Linked DNA regions of Callithrix jacchus. The protein of the gene in region 1 purifies or fractionates together with the protein of each later gene. This does not show direct contact. Links are inferred from orthologs where the notes say so. Each region holds a gene or a part of one and is shown in the gene's direction. Other genes may lie near its edges.

Evidence for each region. The genes of interacting proteins can lie anywhere in the genome.
Region 2: the proteins of DCAF7 (region 1) and ZNF503 purify together in Homo sapiens (affinity purification with mass spectrometry; 4 studies listed by BioGRID and IntAct, counting the BioPlex papers as one, with this or other methods). This does not show direct contact. The link is inferred for Callithrix jacchus from reciprocal best matches to the Homo sapiens genes DCAF7 and ZNF503.
Region 3: the proteins of DCAF7 (region 1) and FAM53C purify together in Homo sapiens (affinity purification with mass spectrometry; 3 studies listed by BioGRID and IntAct, counting the BioPlex papers as one, with this or other methods). This does not show direct contact. The link is inferred for Callithrix jacchus from reciprocal best matches to the Homo sapiens genes DCAF7 and FAM53C.

Annotation. Positions count from the first base shown.
Region 1 is NC_133506.1:88,862,131-88,868,582, forward strand, and holds part of DCAF7 (DDB1- and CUL4-associated factor 7), read left to right. Parts: intron 1-633; coding exon 634-751; intron 752-4,372; coding exon 4,373-4,545; 3' UTR 4,546-6,452. UniProt on the Homo sapiens protein: Involved in craniofacial development. Acts upstream of the EDN1 pathway and is required for formation of the upper jaw equivalent, the palatoquadrate. The activity required for EDN1 pathway function differs between the first and second arches.
Region 2 is NC_133513.1:54,763,436-54,770,431, forward strand, and holds ZNF503 (zinc finger protein 503), read left to right. Parts: upstream 1-2,894; 5' UTR 2,895-3,242; coding exon 3,243-3,545; intron 3,546-4,266; coding exon 4,267-5,898; 3' UTR 5,899-6,633; downstream 6,634-6,996. Other genes in the region: uncharacterized protein LOC144578661, read right to left, coding at 607-868. UniProt on the Homo sapiens protein: May function as a transcriptional repressor.
Region 3 is NC_133503.1:36,752,280-36,759,232, forward strand, and holds the start of FAM53C (protein FAM53C), read left to right. Parts: upstream 1-2,851; 5' UTR 2,852-2,977; intron 2,978-3,131; exon of another isoform or gene 3,132-3,167; intron 3,168-3,271; exon of another isoform or gene 3,272-3,337; intron 3,338-3,580; exon of another isoform or gene 3,581-3,622; intron 3,623-4,099; exon of another isoform or gene 4,100-4,226; intron 4,227-6,794; 5' UTR 6,795-6,946; coding exon 6,947-6,953.

The DNA of each region.
Region 1 (6,452 bases):
ATAATTCCAGCACTTTAGGAGGCCCAGGCAAGCGGATCATGAGATCAAGAGTTCGAGACCAGTGTTACCAACTTGGTGAAACCCTGTCTCTACTAAAAATACAAAAAAAAAAAAAAAAAAAAAAGCTGGGTGTGGTGGTGTGCGCCTGTAATCCAAGCTACTCAGGAGGCTGAGGCAGAATTGCTTGAACCCGGGAGGCAGAGGTTGCAGTGAGCCAGGATCACATCACTGCACTCCAGCCAGGACAACAGTGTGAGACTCCATCTCAAAAATAAATAAATAAATAAATAAATAAGAAATAAAATAAGAAGAGAGACAGGATTTCCACAGAATTAAGGGAAAAGATGACAAAGGACACAAGTTTATAGTCTCTATCTGTATTTTTAGTAGAGATGGGGTTTTACCATGTTGCTTAGGCTGGTCTCAAACTCCTGACCTTGTGATTCACCCACCTCAGCCTCCCAAAGTGCAGGGATTACTGGTGTGAGCCACTGCACCCAGACCTCTAGTGTTCTTTAAATCCACAAATAGAAGAGTTATGCCTAAAAAGATTTTTTGTGTGTGGATAGTATTTTTTGCTTCTTTCTGTGAAACTCTGATGATCCCAGGCCTTTTACTTTGTTATTTCCGCAGGTGGTGATTCTAGATGTCCGGGTTCCCTGCACACCTGTCGCCAGGTTAAACAACCATCGAGCATGTGTCAATGGCATTGCTTGGGCCCCACATTCATCCTGTCACATCTGCACTGCAGGTAATCACAGTAGGGGAGAGGAATCTGGCAGGGATGGAGGAAATCTGTCCTCTTGGCTCCTTAGAATTGTAATTGTTACTGTTTTCTAAGGACAGTCTTAAGAGGTTTATAAAAAGTGACTAGTCAGAGCCTCTCCACACTTGTGAAATTCAAGCAGTACAGATTTTTAGACGATCTTGTACCCTCATGGACATCAGAGCATCTTCCATATATGATTTACATCATGTGTCAGTTATAGGCCTGTGCCTTGTACTGTCCCCCTAAAATCTGGGTGGCACAGAGGACTCAATTCCAGGAATATGAGGAAAAGGAGGTATCCCTCGTGGATGTAACAGAATCTTTGGGACTGTGAAGATCAACATATCCATGGGACCTTTCACGTATCACTATAACAAACCCACAGTGAGCCCTGAATACATTGGAGGGCCCCACAGAACTTTCCCTGGTTGCAGTGTGTGACTTGTGGTTTTCATTTCACTATTTCCCAGACCAAAGAGAGTACCCCTTACTCACTGGGCACAGTGGCTCACACCTGTAATCCCAGCACTTTGGGAGGCTGAGGTGGGTGGGTCACCTGAAGTCAGGAGTTTGTGACCAGCCTGACAAGCATAGTGAAACCCTGTCTCTACTAAAAATACAAAAATAATTAGCTGGGCATGGCAGCACACACCTGTAGTCCAAGCTACTTGGGAAGCTGAGGCAGGAGAACTGCTTGAACCCAGGAGGTGGAGGTTGCAGTGACCTGAGATTATGCCACTGCCCTCCAGCCGGGGTGACAGAGCAAGACTCCATCTCCAAACAAATAAATAAATAAATAAAAGCAATACCTCTTAAAAATATGTTGGGCCAGGCATAGCATCTCAGGCCTGTAATTGTAGCATTTTAGGAGGCTGAGGTGGGAGGATTGCATGAGGCCAGGAGTTTGAGATCAGCCTGAGCAGTATAGTGAGACCTCTTTACAAAAAGTTAAAAAATTATCTGGGTGTGGTAGTGAATTCCTGTAGTCTCAGCTACTTAGAGGCTGAGGTGAGAGGATCCCTTGAGCCCAGGAGTTTGAGGTTATAGTGAGCTATGATTGTGCCACTGCACTCCAGCCTGGGCAACCAAGCAAGACCCTGCCTCTAACATAAATTTTTTAAAAAGAAAAGAAAAATATGCTGGTTGTCAGTGCACTTTTATTCTATAATGAATGCCAATCTGTTATTTAAAATGAAAACAGTACAGAGGCATGTTTAAGGTGAAAGTCATTGTTTCTCCTTCCTATATTATTTCTGCCTCCATCCCACTCTGCATAGATGACCTCTATCAACAGTTCATGTGTCTCCTTCCGGACCCTTTTGGTATACATTCGGGAGTGTACATCCATACCCCTAAAGACAATTCTATACATCTTCCTTTTGCACGATGGGATTCTGTCCGAGCTTTGTGGTGTTTTGCTCCTTAACTTTTTTAGTGTGCATTTTTCTTCTCCTCGCTAATCAGTATCCTTATAATGGACAAGGTTTGTTATGAAGCCCAAGAAGCAATGTACTTTGGTGTTTTTCTGCCATTTGAGCATTATTTTGAAGACATGAAGCTTCTCCTGATTTTGGCCCTGGGCTCATGCCTGTATGTCTTCTTGAAGAGCAGTTGGGGGCATGCTGCCGCCTTATATACCTCAGGTTATGGTCTGTCTTCTTCGTTATTGCCCTCTTATTTTTTTAGGGGTGTGGACAGGGAGGGATGGAAGAAACAGAAAAGGTATCATCTAACATTCATGGAAAGCAGGACTGGCCCCTTAGAAGCTGCATTTTCTGCTCCTGACTGCTGCCTTTGCCCTGCTCTCTGTCATTTAGTGTGTTGCACCTGCCTTGAGCCCCTTCAACCAAAGGAGCTGTTGTTCAAGTGTGCTCAGTTGAGCACTGAGGATAAGGAACTTAGTGCTTTAGAGGGCAATACCCTGATCTTTTGGTATACACTGTCCCTGGGAGAGGGATCTTGCACCTGGCCCAGACTATGCGGTCTCGGTAGAATACCAGTATTGCCCATAATTAGCCTGGCCTATTAAGGCTTAGTTTATTCAGATTCCCTGTGTATCTAAGACCAGCTTTCATCAGAATGCATGGCAGAGTCAGGGTAAACTGCAGCTCTGAAGACCATTGCCTTTTTTTTGCTTTTTTTAAAATTAACTTACTATTTTGATTATAAAAGTAAGCTGGGTGCGGTGACTCATGCCCGTAATCCCAGCACTTTAGAAGGCTGAGGCAGGTGGATCATCTGAGGTCACGAGTTCAGGTTCAGCCTGGTCAACATGGTAAAACCTGTCTCTACTAAAAACACAAAAATTAGCTGGTTGTGCTGGTGCGCCTGAATTCTCAGCTACTTAGGCGGCTGAGGCAGAAGACCCCAGGAGGCATTGGTTACAGTGAGCCAAGATCACACTATTGCACTCCAGCCAGGGTGACAGAACAAGACTCTATCTCAAACAAACAAACAAAAAGTAATATGAACATATTACAGAACTAGAGAAAAGTAAACATAACCTTGCCATCTTAGTATTGCCACCATTCTCATTTTGATATATTTCCTTCTAGTCATTTTTCACGTGCTTTTATATATTTAAGGTGATTGTCTTCTTTCTGGTGTTTCCCATAGATATTTTCTTGGCTTTATTTATTTATTTTATTTTATTTTTTGAGGTGGAGTCTTACTCTGTCGCACAGACTTGAGTACAATGACATGATCTTGGCTCACTGCAATCTCTGCCTCCCGTTTAAGTGATTCTCAGCCACCTGAGTAACTGGGATTACAGGTGTGCACCACCATGCCTGGTTTATTTGTATATATATATATTTTTTTTTTTTTTTGAGACAGAGTTTCACTCTTGTTACCCAGGCTGGAGTGCAATGGCGCAATCTCAGCTCACCGCAACCTCTGCATCCTGGGTTCAGGCAGTTCTCCTGCCTCAGCCTCCTGAGTAGCTGGGATTACTGGCACGCACCACCATGCCCAGCTAATTTTTTGTATTTTTTAGTAGAGACGGGGTTTCACCATGTTGGCCACTCCTGGCCCCAGGTGGTCCACCTGCCTCAGCCTCCCAAAGTCCTGGGATTACAGGTGTGAGCCACCAGGCCTAGCCAGGAAATAATTTTTTAACAGCACATATCAACACTACTTTATCAGTCTTCTTTCTCTATAATACCTCATTGAAGTATAAATGGGAAGAAACCTTCTCATTATATTGAATGATCAGAGAAGGATCTTATAACTCCAGTATTTTAAGTGGCTGCAAATGACATGTTTTGTATCCCCTGGTCCACTCCTGATACCTGACCCAGGTGAGAAGGGCTCATTAGTGCAGTGGATAGAGCCTAGGGACACCTGCAAGATGGAGTCAAGGCCTAGACTTGAGTTCTGGCTCTGCTGCTCACTGGCTGCACAGCTGTGTGATTTGGGACAAGTGCCTTAACATTTCTGAATCTTGTTTTCTTCATCGATAAAATGGGGGTTTAAAATAGAACCTCCATCACGGAGTTTTGGTGATCAACTGCTTTGTAAACTGTGACTTGCTCCTGAAATACAGGGATCATCATCCCCATTGCCTCAGTTGTGACCTTGCTTGCTGGCTTTCTTTGTCTCTAGCGGATGACCACCAGGCTCTCATCTGGGACATCCAGCAAATGCCCCGAGCAATTGAGGACCCTATCCTGGCCTACACAGCTGAAGGAGAGATCAACAATGTGCAGTGGGCATCAACTCAGCCCGACTGGATCGCCATCTGCTACAACAACTGCCTGGAGATACTCAGAGTGTAATGTTGGTGGCGCTGTGCGCACGAGGCAGGGCCTTGTGTGTTTCCTGCCTCTGCCCCACCCCAAAGTAAGAAGAAACATGTTTCCAGTGGCCAGTATGTCTTTCGTTGCTTTGCACCCACTGTTACCAGAAGCTGCTCTAGGAGTTCCTGGCCAGTCACCCCATCGCCCTCTGTGGCAGACTCAGTGCTGTGTGGCACCTCCTCAGCCCAGGGCTGAATTTTAAAATTTTCTCTTCTTTCCTCTTCTTGTTTTGTTCCTCAATTAAAAATGTGTGTATATTTGTTTGTCAGGCGTTGCGTTGAGGAGCAGTTCATGTACTGGCTGTGTCTATTCCTCTGCCCAGGTGTCTCTGTCTGTTTGCTGCCCAAGGCAGCAACGCATGTTTCCATGTCCATGTTCCTGTTAGCACTTACGTGGGAACAAATAACAGTTTGTCCTTTCTCCTAGTATCAGTGTGTTTAACAAATTTCAACTTTGTATATTTATCAGGCTAATTTTTTTATGAAAAGAATTTTACTCTTCCTGGTTCATTTATTTGTCTTATAGTCCTTCCTATGTGCCCCTTCTTCTCTTCCCTCAGTGCCTGGAGCTGGTACTGGGCCCCTGGCCCCATGAGCAGTTTGCCTTCTTGAGTCACTGCCTGAGTAGTACATACCTGACCGGGAGGCCAAACCACCTTGGTGCTCTGAAGTCAACTGACTCCTCAACATCTTTCTTAGCCTGGCTCTTCTTAAGGGCATTCTGGGCTTCTAAACAGACGTAGGAAACCTCTGTTTACCCTAAAGCACCACTGTCCAGCCCCATTGGTTCCCACTGGGAGCATGGTAGAGGTGAGAGAGACAGGCTCTCAGGGTACCTGACTTGAGGGGAATCCTTTCAGGAAGCTGAAAAAGTCAAGCATATTTCCATACCTACTTTCAGAGTCTGTTTTTTACTTCAAATATAAGCCCCAGGCCATTCCACTTAGTGTCTTTTTAATGATCGACAAGAATGAGTTGAAATTCTCTGAGTTGAACTTCGGTGTTTCTGTTGGTTGAGTGTACTGTGCCTGGCCATATATTATATAGGGTGCTCTTTGGATTGAGTGCTCTGAGGTGAGAGTTTCCCGAGAGGCATCCAGTCTGTACTTCCAACCCTGAACAAGACCTCACATGAGAGATGGACTGATTGGCTGTGGCAATCCCAGGCTGTCAAGTGGATAGATAGCAAAAAAGAGTTATACTGTGGTGAGTAATGCTAAGGAGCAAAAAAGAAAGAAAAGGAATTATTGCCCCCAGGGTCAGCCAGTTAAGAGCTCTACCCACACCTGTCAACCCTTCTCTCCGCCAGTTTAGGTTCTGAGCAGTATTGGACTTGTAACCTGTGGTTGTCTGTTGACTTGCAGGCCGCAGGCGTCTTTTCGTTACATGAATGAGTTCCATGGAGGGGGCCTGTGTGTGATTCCATTGTTGGAAGAGTCCTTGGAGCAGGCAGAGTTTGAGGCATGCTCTGGGGGGAAAGTTGCCTGGCTCCTTGGGCTGTACTCAGTAACTGAAGGTTTTTAAGTCCCTCTGAATTGCTCATCTGAGATTAGCAGAGTAGCAGGCCTAAAGGACGATGGTTTTGTTCTCTTTGGCTCTCACCTGCTTGAGAAGTAAAACAGTGTACTTTGTTCTTCTGGGCCCTTAAGCTTTGTTGATTAAGTCTACCTTTTCAGAAGGAGATATCATTGTTTGCTGAAAGTCCAGCTCTTTGCTTTACCATACAGGGACTGTCCCAAAGAAGAAGGCTCCTTTTGAGTCAGAGTATTTCCCCTTCTATCCTTTTACTTTGTGGTTCTGATTTTGGGACTCTGGCTGGCCATGTGCTTGCAGTTGACTCTCCTGCATCTGCTACTGGATTTGCATTGCACTGCTTGGAGATGTAAA
Region 2 (6,996 bases), on another chromosome or scaffold:
CCGCTGGAATTAGAGGAAAGGGGGCAGAGCTGCGTCTCGGGGCTGGGGAGGGACGCCCTTGGCTCTGTCACCCCCAGCCCTGCCGCAGCCCCCAGAATTTCAGTGCCCGGGCCTCGCGGGGAGGTCGCAGTGATAGCGGCCCAAAGCTGGGCTCGCGGCGTTGGGAACACTGCCGTTGGTTGAGTCGACATCTAGAAGGCCGCGCACTCAGTGACCAGGCAGACACTAACACACGCGAAGGATAAGAGCGGCTTCACAGACACGCTGCCCCACAGGGACAGCGTAGGAGTATCCCGCCCTCCGAAATGAACACCTGGGACTCGCTCCCGGGAGACCATTCAGACAACCTGTACAGCGTGGGGCCTCGCCACCCGCTCGCGGACTCACCTTCCTCAGATGTCGCACGGACACTACAAACTCTCTTGAATGCAGGTGTGCTCTTACACTGACAAACACCGGCCCCAAATACAGACCACCTCACTCCCCTCTTCTCTCCAAATGAGCTTCAGTAAAGTTACCATCTTATAAAGTTTACCAGCCTAAAGAGCCAAGGGACAAAATCCAAACGCGGAAAAAGAATGCCTAGGAGGAAATTCTAAAACTCACCCCAGAAAGTTCTTGGTACCCGTGCGGAATGAGACTGAGAAAGAAACGGGGTGGAGGAGTGAGGTGGGGGAGGGGAGTGAGATGGGCCGAGGGGAGAGAGTGAGCACGCCGAGGGCAGGTTCCAGACCTGACCCCCGCGAGTACCCGGCTCAGCCCCGGCTGCGCGCCGGTTGTAACCAGGTTTCCAGGCTCGGCCCCCACCCACCTCGCGGGCACAGACTGGCTCCCGGCTCCCGGCTCCCAGAGCTCCCAGCCCCACCATTTATCAAAAGGACTTGACAACAAAGGAAGAGCCGAGGCGGAAAAGCGGAGGAGGGAGATTCAAAGTCTTCCTAGTGGTTCCGAGGAAGGGGGTGTGTCCTCCTCACCCAACCACCCGCTCTAATTTCTGCGAGTTTCTGGAGGGGACTCTCGAACCCGCTCTGGACACTGTCAAAGCCCCGAGAACTTACGCAGCGCCACAGGCATGCATACACACTGGGCACCCAGGTCCAGGTACGCGGTGGCACGCGCAAGCGCCTCCCCTCTTCTTTCCAAACCCGAGTGACGGTGCAAATCGAGGGGAACGCGGCAGTCCCTCTCTGCTTCCTTGGAAGAACCCGCGTTTCCACAGGCAGCCGCCCCCTCCTTTTTTTGCTCCTTCCCCCGGCTCTCCCCGCGCAGGTCGTTCCGACGCGGCGTTCCGAATAAATTCGAGAGAGCAGCCCCGAGTGACCCTGGCTCCCCAGCCTGCGGGGATAGCGCGGGGCGGGAGGTGAGGGAAGGTCGGAAGGGGGAAAGAGTGAGCCTGAGACGTTTCTCCCCCACACACACCGCCCGGCCTCTTCTCCGCAGCCTCTCAGCCCTGGTTACGACTGAGGATGTCAAAGAATTGAGGCGAGGTTTACCCCACCATTGACCTCCAGGACTCGAGGTTCATTGCTGGTGTGGCTCTTAGAAGTCTCCGAGTTTGGGGTTAGAGAACTACCGAGGGTGGCAGCCTGACCTCCGCACGCTACACGCCCCCCGGGGACTAGTGGCGGCGGGGTGGGGTGGCGGGAAATCTCCCGTGTTAGAGGTTGCAGCCGCTGGTCTCGGGTACCTGGAGCCGCGCCCGAACTCCGCGACCCCAAGAGACCGAAGCCCCCAGAGGTGGGTGTCTCTCCGACACCGAGAAGGCAGGCGCTCAATCCAGGCCTGCGTGCGCCCTGGGCGCACCTGCGCACTTTACTCTCACTATTCATTTTCCTGACACAGACCGCCTCTTTCCCCTCTTTCATTCTTTTTCTTAGAGCCCCCACCCCACTCCTCATCCCAGGAGGCCGCTCCTCTTTTCCCATCCTCCAGTTCCCTCTCGGTCTCTTCCTTCCTCTTCATCTCTCTCTCCCTCTTCTTTTTCCCTTCAAGTCGCACCAGCCTTGTAATCAGCAACAAAAGCTGACATAAATCACGGGCGGATTGACAAGAGCTGACAAATAACTGATTGATTGCGGTCGAGGAACATTGACAATTGATGGAGGGGTGGAGATGCCCAAAGAACGGGGGGAGGGAGGAAAAGAGTATGGAAGGGGAGAGTAAGAATGGGGGGTTGGGGGGGGGAGACTGAGTGTGAAACAGAGGAAACATGTGACCCCCGCTGCTGCCCCAATCTACGCGTCCCCGGGCGTCACGTGGCCGGGAAGGGCGGAGAGCCCGGCGCGCCTCGCGCTGTGGAGCCGCCGCCGCTGCGACTGCCCATCTAGTTTCTGGTTTCTCTGCCGCAGAATCTGAGGAAACAGAGCGGGCGGGCAGGCTTCCTCCAGCTCCGGTTCCCCACCTTGCCTTACCCTGGTGGCCGCGCTGCGCTGCGTCGGGCGGGATCTCGATTACTGCGGAAGAAAAAACACTGGGTGTGTGGATTCCCTGCGTCCCTCGAGTTGACAGTCCGGCTGGTGTCCACACTCTCACCGGTGCTCCTTCTGGACACCCCCGCAGTCTGTTCCTCACGCTCACCCCCCTCCAAAAGAAGGTTTCAGTTTATTTTAGAGGTGGGGAAAGGAAGAACGACGAGGAGAAAAAAAGAGGGAGGCGGCGGATGGCAAACGTAGAATAGATGTCCATCTCGTCCTCGGAGCGAAATCGAGGGAGGGGACACACAGGGGGGCGGCGAGGAGGGAGCTGCCCATTAAAACCAGCTCTGAGAGTCCTGGCGGCGGCGGCAGAGGCAGCGCGGGACGCGTCACATCCCCTTGACCCTCCAATCACCTCGGGCTCCCATTTGATTGGAAGGCGGCAAAGGCTTTAATCTCCCCCTCGGTGCAGCTGCTTTTGAAGTGAGTTTCCTCGCCAGAGCCCCGGCTGGACACGCAGCAGCTCACATCGCAGAGCGCAGCGCCGGCGCGGGGCCGCGGGAGCGCAGCGCAGGGGAGCAGCCCGGCACTCCGGCACTCCGGCACTCCAGCCGGCTCCCCCAGCCCGGCCACGGCTCCGTTGCGGGCCACCCAGGATTACTCGCGTCTGGCTCCAGGCGCCGAGAAGGCGCGCTGGGCGCCCGCGGCCGCCGAGCCAGCTCCTCCTCCTCCTGCTGCTCCTGCTCCCCGGGCGAGCGCGCAGCCCCGAGCCCGCCCCGCGCCTCCAGGAGCCCTCCCCCCCGCTGCTCCCATGCGCGCGGGTGGGTCATGAGCACAGCGCCCTCGCTTTCTGCCCTAAGAAGCAGTAAGCACAGCGGCGGCGGCGGCGGCAGCGGTGCAGACCCTGCCTGGACTAGCGCGCTCTCTGGAAATAGCTCCGGCCCCGGTCCAGGCTCGTCCCCGGCCGGCAGCACCAAGCCTTTTGTGCACGCCGTGCCCCCCTCTGACCCCCTGCGCCAGGCCAGCCGCCTGCCAATCAAGGTGCTGAAGATGCTGACGGCACGGACTGGCCACATTTTGCACCCCGAGTACCTGCAGCCCCTGCCTTCCACGCCCGTCAGCCCTATCGAGGTAAGGACCCTCTCTCTGGATCGCGCTGGGACCACTACCCTGGCAGCCACCCTAAAGCTTTCTTTTTCTCTGGATCTGGGCGGGGGTGGGGGGGTCGGAGTGATTCAGCTCCTGGATGGGGGACAAGGCTACTGCTTCCGTACCTCAAAACTAGGGCGGAAAAGAGGGAGGTGGTGGAATGGGGTGTGAATGCTAGGGAGCAAGGCTGCCAATACTTGTTTCTCCTTTTGATATGAAAGCCCTAACCCGACCCAGGCCCCCTCACTCGGCACTGAAGGCAGGCAGAGGTCTGAAATACGATTCCAAAGTCGCCGTCCTCCGGCTCGCCGGGAGCCAGTGTGTGCACACAGCCTCGGAGGCACCAGCCGTCCAAGCCCTTACTCTGAAAAATTAGGGATTGTTTGTGGAGAGGGGGTACAGTTGTGGGTCTAGGAACCAAAAACCAAAAACATTTTGCTTTTTAAAAATCCAGTTAGCGTTCAGAGAGGGCAGGAAAGATGCTGCTGGGAGGGGTGGGGGGAGGGGGGAATCTGCTGCCTTTCCCAAGGGCGAGAATGTTTGCGACTGGGTGTTGAAGAGGGGGTGCCGCCTAGAATTGCGCCTCGGGGCTGGGAAGATCTTCGTGGGCTGTTGCAGAGAGGCATTTGAACCCCAGAAGCCAGATTCTAAAGGGTTTCCACTTCTTTCTCTGTGTGACCCCCCCCATCATCTGACCCCGCAGCTCGATGCCAAGAAGAGCCCTCTGGCGCTGTTGGCCCAAACATGTTCGCAGATTGGGAAGCCCGACCCCTCGCCCTCCTCCAAACTGTCCTCGGTCGCCTCCAACGGGGGCGGCGCGGGCGGTGCCGGCGGCAGCGCCGCGGGCGACAAGGACGCCAAATCGGGCCCCCTCAAGCTGAGCGACATCGGCGTGGAGGACAAGTCGAGTTTCAAGCCGTACTCCAAACCTGGCTCGGATAAGAAGGAGCCGGGAGGCGGCGGTGGAGGCGGCGGGGGCGGCGGCGGGGGCGGCGGCGGCGGGGGCGTTTCGGCGGAGAAGTCGGGATTCCGGGTACCGAGCGCCACCTGCCAGCCATTCACGCCCAGGACAGGCAGCCCGAGCTCCAGCGCCTCGGCCTGCTCCCCAGGAGGTATGCTGCCCTCGGCCGGGGGTGCCCCGGAGGGCAAGGACGACAAGAAAGACACCGACGTGGGCGGCGGCGGCAAGGGCGCCGGGGGCACCTCGGCCGAAGGGGGACCCACAGGGCTGGCGCACGGCCGGATTAGCTGCGGCGGCGGGATTAATGTGGACGTGAACCAGCACCCTGATGGGGGCCCAGGGGGCAAGGCTCTGGGCTCGGACTGCGGCGGTTCATCTGGCTCGAGCTCTGGCTCCGGCCCCAGCGCGCCCACCTCCTCCTCGGTGCTGGGCTCTGGGCTGGTGGCGCCCGTCTCACCCTACAAGCCAGGCCAGACAGTGTTTCCTTTGCCTCCCGCGGGCATGACCTACCCAGGCAGCCTGGCCGGGGCCTACGCCGGCTACCCGCCCCAGTTCCTGCCACATGGCGTGGCACTCGACCCCACCAAGCCGGGCAGCCTGGTGGGGGCACAGCTGGCGGCGGCCGCGGCTGGGTCTCTGGGCTGCAGTAAGCCGGCCGGCTCCAGCCCCTTGGCTGGGGCGTCTCCGCCGTCGGTGATGACAGCCAGTTTGTGCCGGGACCCGTACTGCCTCAGCTACCACTGCGCCAGCCACCTGGCAGGGGCGGCGGCAGCCAGCGCTTCGTGCGCACATGATCCGGCCGCTGCGGCCGCTGCGCTGAAGTCTGGATACCCGCTGGTGTACCCCACTCACCCGCTGCACGGTGTGCACTCCTCGCTAACGGCCGCCGCGGCTGCTGGCGCCACACCACCCTCCCTGGCCGGCCACCCCCTCTACCCCTACGGCTTTATGCTCCCTAACGACCCGCTCCCCCACATCTGCAACTGGGTGTCGGCCAACGGGCCATGCGACAAGCGCTTCGCCACGTCCGAAGAGCTGCTGAGCCACTTGCGGACCCATACGGCCTTCCCTGGGACAGACAAACTGCTGTCGGGCTACCCCAGCTCGTCGTCTCTGGCCAGCGCCGCCGCGGCCGCCATGGCTTGCCACATGCACATCCCCACCTCCGGCGCGCCGGGCAGTCCTGGGACGCTGGCGCTGCGCAGCCCCCACCACGCGCTGGGACTCAGTAGCCGCTACCACCCCTACTCCAAGAGCCCGCTCCCCACGCCCGGTGCCCCTGTGCCGGTGCCCGCCGCCACCGGACCCTACTACTCCCCCTACGCCCTCTACGGACAGAGACTGACCACCGCCTCGGCACTGGGGTATCAGTGAAGGGGCCGGGAGGGCTAGCGAGGGAGAGGAAGGAGTTGGAGGAGGGGAGGAGCCCAGGGAGGGGCGGGATCATGGCCCAGGCTGCTGACACCCGCGCGTGGGGAGGACTCAAGCCACGAAAGGAAAGAAATATATACCATATCTATCTACCCCACAGCAGCAACCGAAACCCGGTGGGACTCCCTTTCTCCCCTCCTCTCACTTCCCCACCCAAACTTTATAAAAGTTGAAAAAATATCATTTGACTTTTTATAGAAAAAGAAGGAAAAAATAATTGAGAAAGTGTTCATCTGAGGACTGCATCGGTGGACACTGGTATTTATTTATGTTAGCTCCAAGCGGACCCGTGGTTCAAAAGTGCATTATTTAGTTTGAGCTCTGTAGGTAAAAAGGAGGAGGGAAACAATTTAAAACGTGAGGGTAAAAATGTGGAAAACAAACCCTCCCATCCCTTGTAGATTATAAATAAAAGCAAAACCGCCACAGAACTAGAGGTCTTCTCTTTAATGTTACTTTAAAATTGCTATGATTGTATTGTACGTTATTTAATGTCTGATTGAAACACAAATTTACATGCATGTTTGTTACAAAAAATGAAAAAAAAAGTCACAATTTGTCAGCTCTGATTTCAAATTGCAATTATTTTTAAGGTGTATACCATCGAAGAGAATGGGTATTTTTTTGTATGTATTCTGGAAGAAAACAAAAAAAAAAGGAAAAAATTCTATTCCAAAACCTCATTTGCCTTATTTTGTTCTTTAAAAGGAACACTTAACTATTTTTAATTTTTAAGTCCACCCGTTGAGAAGGGGACAAGGTTTACGTCATGTACTAAAATAATAGACAATGTATCGCTTTAAAGATTAAAATTCCGTATATTTGATGTATTAAAAGGTTTTACTTCTTCTTCTTATCTTTTTTATTTTTTGGTTAAAGAGAGCATGGCAGTTTCGGCCGCAGTGGGTTCCGGGGCCTCACTGCTGCTCCTTCCCGGGACCGTGGCAGAATTTCCGATCGCTTTGTTGTGATTTTCTGGGAGGCAAAGGCGTCGGAAGGGGCGGCCAGCCGCGAAGTTGGCCTTAGGGAACATATTTTTAA
Region 3 (6,953 bases), on another chromosome or scaffold:
CTCATATATGTCTTCTTTCGTAAAGTGTCTGTTCATATCCTTTGCCCACTTTTGAATGGGCTTCCTACCAAACATTTTTACTATCTCATCGTGACTCCAGCTGGCTTAGCTAATTGCAACATACTTAGCTAATTACATGTACATTTACATACATACATACAAACTGTGAAAGAGTAGAATTATTTTAAAGGTAAGTCAAATATTGTCTTTTATATCTTGATTTCTGAAGGTGTTGGAATATATCTAATTTATCCTTCCCAGAAGAAAGAATATTAGGGAGGTGGGAAGTTTGGTGTTTAATCTGATTTGAAGATTTACTTTTTCTGTTGGATTGAGGGCATTGATCCTATGTCATCCTTGGGGAATCCCTATCTAGGCTCCTGATTCACTGTGATAAGCAGTGAGCTGTGTTCCTTCACCTTGACCTCAATCTGACCCATATTTGTTGTTGCCAGGGCACAGCGGCAGCCTGGGCTTCACCCTGAAACACCAAATAAGAACCCGCGGTACAGCGGTTGCTCCTGGGATACCCAGATCAGGCAGTGGAGAAGAGCCCTACATTTCTGGGACCCTCCCAGTCAGCCTCTGCAGGGCAGAGGAGCTGAGGAGTGTGTTTTCTATTCCTTTTTCTTTTCATGACTGGTAGGCTTAGCCCTACTTCTCCCCACTTTGCAGAGATTTAGCTTTCACTGGATGAAAAGGGAGGGTCTGAATTGAATGCATGTTCCTCTGACTCAGCTGTTCCTTCCTAGGCAGGGAATGGAGAGTCTCTTAGAGCCAATGGTTTCCACTCCTTTGGATGACCTCCTGGATGACCGGCTCCAGGCCCTGGAATCCTCAGAATATGGATGGAAAGTATCCTCTGCTGAAACCCATTGGGGCAGGGTCAGAGATGGGGTTTGGCCCATGAGGGCACAATTAAGATGCTGTTCAAAACAGTGGCTCAAGAACAAAATAATACACAGGGGGCAGCAGGGAAGAAGAGCAGGACATGAGTAAAAAAATCGTTGGGAATTAAAAGTGGAATAAGGAGATTTCATTATGGGTAGGAGTGTTAGGCTGCACTGGGAGGCTATTTAATAGATGATGAAAGGGGATGTAACCTTCCTTTGAAATGAGGCTTGAAACTTGCAGGGTTTTTTGTTTTTTTTTTTTGTCTCAGTTTCTTTCAATGTTTTGCAAATGAGCCAATGCCTACTTTCAACTCAATCATGTAATTAGTAAGCTTGGTTAATAATAAAAAGGGGAAGAGCTTAGCAGTGAAAAGCAAGGGCTTTTTGAATCTCTTTTAGACTGCTTTTTGATACTACCTCTACCTACCACGTGGGCAGTCACTTAATCTCCTGGGCTGTTTCCTTTGTCAAAGAGAAAGTTTTGTTTCATTGGATGACTGTAAAAAAAAATGAGAATATACATCAAAGTATGTAGGCCAGGTATGGTGGTTCACACCTGGAATCCCAGCACTTTTTTTTTTTTTTGTTCTTTTGTTTTGTTTGTGGCCCAGGCTGAAGTACAGTGGCATGATCTCAGCTCACTGCAACCTCTGCCTCCTGGGTTCAAGCGATTCTCCTGCCTCAGCCTCCGGAGTAGCTGGGATTACATGTGGGCACCACCACGCCCAGCTAATTTTTGTATTTTTTAGTAGAGATGGGGTTTCACCATGTTGGCCAGGCTGATCTGGAACACCTGACCTCAAATGATCTGTCTGCCTTGCTTCCCAAAGTGCTGGGATTACAGGTGTGAGTCATCATGCCTGGCCATTTGAGCACTTTGTGAGGCCAAGCTGGGAAGATCATTTGAGGCCAGAAGTTTCAGACTACCCTGGGCAACATAGCAAGGACCCTCTCTCTACAAAAATAGAAATAAATATGCTGGGCATGGTGGCACACCCCTGTAGTTCTAACTACTCAGGAGGCTGAGATGGGAAGGACTGCTTGAGCCCAGAAGTTCAAGCTGCAGTTAGCTATGATGGTCTCACTGCATTCCAGCCTGAGCAACAGAGCAAAACCCTGTTTCTGCAAAAAAAAAAAAAGCATGGTGTCTGGCACATAAGTGCAATTATTAGAAACTATGTGTCCCACACTTCATGGTGCCTGCCTCTGCTCCTTTTGCCAAGGGGAAATAGGCAGTGCAAGGTAAATCTCTCTACCCCTATTTTCTCAGTTATTATTGTACCTCACTTTTCCTCTACTCTTTTTCAGTTTGCAGACTTTGTGGCTCCTGCTTCCTCATCTACCTGGCTCTGTGAGGAAGATCCCCACCATTGGCTCTACTTTCCAGCTGATCACAGCTATTTACCTGTCCCAGTCATGAGTAAGGCACAAAATATTTACAGAGAACAGATGTCTTTCAGAGGACTTTCTGCTAAGTGTAATAGTGAAGATTACTTGCATTACTGCTACTTTCCAATCAATTGAAAAAAAATCGAAAACTTTGCATTACAAAGAGATCACAACACGAAGGCATTGTTTAAAGCCTCTTCTTCATCCACTTTTTTGCTTGTCTCCCTGAACCATCTGTGAGGCTGAGACTCAAATTTACATAAGAGCCAGAAACCATCAACCCAACCTCTTCACACACTAACGTCTACATTCAGTCTCTAAAAAAGACTTAAACTTTGGCTCATGTGGGAAGTGGTGGTAGTGGTGGAGACTTAATAAAAGGTGGTTTTGTCTTCCTGAAGTGGAAATGTAGGGCCGTCACATCTTTTCACCATCTGCCTGTTTCCTCCCTCCCTTTCTGTTTAACGAAAGTGTAACCACCGTACTTCTCCCCACCTCCCCGCACCTCCCCCCACCCAACGCAAGCAACTGAACCGCCTATGATGTCATAATCACAATCCCATTACCTCATCCTGCTGGGGGGGGGGCGGAGAGGGAGGATAGGGAGTGAACAGCCTTGGGCTATCCTGAGCTTTACAAAGTGTTCTGGGTGAGGGCAAATTACAAAACCGAGTGGAAACGGCCCCGCAACCATTGTAAGTCCTGGGTTTTTAAGATTCATGCCGATCCGGCAGCTGCAAGAGGGGCTCCTGGGACTCAGAGCAGGCCCTGATCGGCGCTTGGACCACACTTCCCAGCAGCCTTCACGCGGCGGACAGGTCCTTTGCAGGGGGAAGGGGGAATTCCTTCGAAGAGGTGGCCGTGGAGGGCGGAGCAGCAGAGCAGGTGATGGGGCACTGTGGCTAATTGCGTGACGCGGCCAGAACCGCGTGGGAGGCTGTAGTTGGGCCGACGGAGGGAGGGAGGCCAGGGGCGATGCCTTTGTTTACCTTCTTCCGACGGGGCCTCCCCCGCGGGTTTCAAGATGTGCCTCCGACTGGGACCGTCCACTTTCTGAGAGATTTTGAAGGGGTGACTCGTTAGTGAGGAAACCACCCCCATCCCTAAATCAAAGCGTCAGGCTACTTCCCGACAGCGCTATCTGAGAAAGACGTTGACAGAGACACCACACGGGGCTGCGGCCTCCGCGGGTGGCTCGAGGGGATTCTGCTAGCCGGAGCTGTCCCCCTACTCTCCTCAGGGACTCGTTGGTTCGCGCCAGCGCCTTTTAAGGGCACCGTGGGGCGAACGGAGCGCTCAGAGCTGCTCCGGCCGTGGCCCTGGGAGCTGGAGGAGCTGCGGTAGGTGGCAGAGGGCAGGTGGCGCTGGGGCCTCGGGGCGGGCACCTCAACTGTCCCTCCCTCCTTCCCTCTTTCCCCTCCCCCAGTCCTGCCGCCTGTGCGGCCGGGCCTCGCAGGCCGCCTCCGCGGGGAGAGCACGGGACCCGGTGGGGGAGGGGGTGGCGGAGTGCTAAGTCCCAGACCCTCCCCATCCCTTGCGTCGGGAGTTCGCTTCCCGCGGCCAGATGATGGAACCTAGTGGGAAGAGGCAAACGCCAGCCCCCCTGAGCAAGCCCTGGCGACCCCCCCCCGCCGCGGACCAGCGGACGCCCCATGCCCCACCCCGCGGGGACAGGCAGGGCAACAGAGGGATAGCTTGAAGATTGAAGGGGCCTAGCCTTTTGCTTCTTCATGGGGGTGGGGGAGGGGTGTTTCCCACTTGTCACCACTATTCCCACCAGAACCATATGGAAGAAGAGGCGGAAGGTCTCCACTTACCTGTTCGTGCACCTCCCTGCCTTCCTCATGTTTTCCTTCAGTCTCCCCAAGAGGTGTAGGGCTGGGACCTGGGGGAAGGTCCCCAAGGGATTTGTGACTCTCCTCCCTCTTGGCCTGACTTGATTCTACCTTGTCTAGGTTCAGCACAACCTCCGCATCCCTGAAACAGGAGTGTCAGGGGTTACTGCCATCCAGTAGCAGATGGGGTGGGGGTCCGATCTTTATTTTAGGGGGCTGATGGTGGAGGAAAAGCCTGGACTGAGGGTTAGGCCTGGTGGGGTTGCTGAGAGGGCCTAGCGGCCTGCTGCTCTGTGAAGGGCTAAGCCCTTGTGCCAGTTGTTAAACTGAGAAGTTTTAACTTGTTTAGTGAACGTTCAGGGCTGTCTCTACCCTTCAGATACACAAAATGGAAGGGGAAGGAAGGCAGCAAGATCGGGCTTCTTACACTTTTTTCAATGCCTGCTTGAGAAAGAGGAGGCCCCTCGCGGAGCTGGTTTGCCTTCTTTTGTGTCCTGGTTTGATTCCTTATGGCTTCCGTTCTGTTCCCCCTCTCAGCCTGGCCTGTTTTAGGAAACTCAGGCTGAGAGTATCAGTTGCGTGGTGGTAGTTGCATTGTTCCAATTACCGCTGTGTGTGGCCACATCCCAACAATTAAAATGCAGAAAAACACAAATTCACTCTATTCACCTATCCTAGAGATGATTGGGAGTTTGCTGTTGTCCAAATATCTTTCGAAAAGCTAGAGAGTTTGTTTCACTACCCTGTTCCTCCTAGCTGGTGAGCCTGAGGCCTGGGGTCTCTAGGGTAAAATCCTGCACTTAGGTTTCCTCTCTGGTTGATCTTTGAAGGCAGAGTTAAGAAACCAAGAGCAAAAGTGATATAAGCTTTAGCTTCTCCCATGAGAACATAGGGGAAGCAGCTGAAGGGAGCTCCCCGGAAGCTAGAATTTTGTTCAGGGTGGTAATAATTATGCATGAAAATGGTAGTTAACTCTAATGATGATTGACTTCTCTTGCACCTTTCTTCCAAAGAACTCCAAGTACATCCAGATTCATTTCTTTGCTCTTCCTTGTGGCCTCCTTCTGAGGTGTGAATGGGTTAGAGATGATTTCCTCTTTATTGTACAGTGGTCTGCCCCCAAGGTCACAGAAGGAAGAGCCTTCTTGGGCTTTTTTTTAGTGTGCAGGTGAGGGAGGATGGTATTCAGCCAGAGATAGACCCTGTTGCCTTCTTCATCTTACTGATATCATTACTTCTGACATTCTGAGGTCTTGAAGATTCACAAACAGAAATGAGAAATGGTAGTCTATGTGGACTCCTGATTTTTACAGGCCAGGTGGTACCTTTTGTACATTTTAGTATGTTATGTTGTTCCTGTGACAGGTTTAGATTATTCTACCTACTTTACATATGGGTAAACTGAGGCCAAGGAGTATTAAATGATTTGCCAAAACTCTCAGAAAATTAGATTTAATAATTAGATTTCTTGATCATTTGTTCTTTTGACTAGCTAATGCTGCATACAGTCTCTGGTAATCTGTCAGCCTGCTGGTCATTTCTGGGAATAGACAGAACAAAATCAAGACTGGCTTAACCTCCCCTTTTCCCTTGAGCAAGGCGCCTTGGGTAATTATGTGGGCTTGAAGCCTGTTCTCTGATGGAGTTAGTTTGCTTCTGTCAGAAATTGACCATGAGAAAGAATCTTGCTTAACTGTATCCATGGTCTTTGCATCAGATCAGGCAAAAAACTTAGTCGAATAAAGTCATGTAGTTGTTTGTAATGTCTGTGGAATTGAAATGTATTGGAATTACCCTGATCATTTCCTTATCCTCTTCCTATTTGATAAGAAAACATACACAGTGGGCCAGGGCGGTGGCTCACACCTATAATCCCAGCACTTTGGGAGGCTGAGGTGGGTGGATCACGAGGTCAAGAGATCGAGACCATCCTGGTCAACAAGGTGAAACCCCATCTCTACTAAAAATACAAAAATTAGCTGGGCATGGTGGCACGCGCCAGTAGTCCCAGCTACTTGGGAGGCTGAGGTGGGAGAATTACTTGAACCCAGGAGGCGGAGGTTACGGTGAGCCAAGATTGTGCCATTGCACTCCAGCCTGGGTAGCAACAGCTAAACTCCGTCTCAAAAAAAAAAAAAAAGAAAACATACACAGTATCTATGGGAAAACAATACTATATCAGATATTTAGGCTGTGGGAGGACATAAAATCCTATGTACTCTGGTCCAAAGCAGAAAGTCATGCCTACAACCACTGTTCCTCCTTGTTCTCTTATTACTATTTCTGTAGTTTAGGAGAAGGGTATCTCTTTTCACTTCTGACTGGAAGATAAAATACTGGGCTAATCTTGATGGAAATAATCATTTGGGCATCCCTCTCTCTCACTTGAGCAGCTGTTTTCTAAGTGGTGCTGGTATTCCAGTTAGAAACAACAGAGCCAGGTTAAGAGTGGCAAATAAGTTTCAACTTGATTGCCAACTCTATTTTATTTCATATCTAGACTGCCAAGTTCATAGTTTCTGAAGCTATGTTTAGGCTTAGCAGGAAAGAGCTGTGGGCAATTGATGTCTGCCAGAGGCCTGGCTTAGGGGTGCTGTGGTATGTGTGCCATGCATTTTCCATCTCTGGACCAGGTGCATCTCTAATATCACTTGGGGCTGGTCCCTCTAATTGGCAGACTCAGCAGGCATGACTGGAGAGGGAAGTCCCAATGGTGCTAGAATGGTGCTGCAGTGGCAGAAGACGGCTCACGAGTGAGGTCTGGAAGAACAACAGGGAAGACATCCATCATTTGCTCCAAAGTGTGCAAGTCAAATCCTGGGGAGAATCATGATAA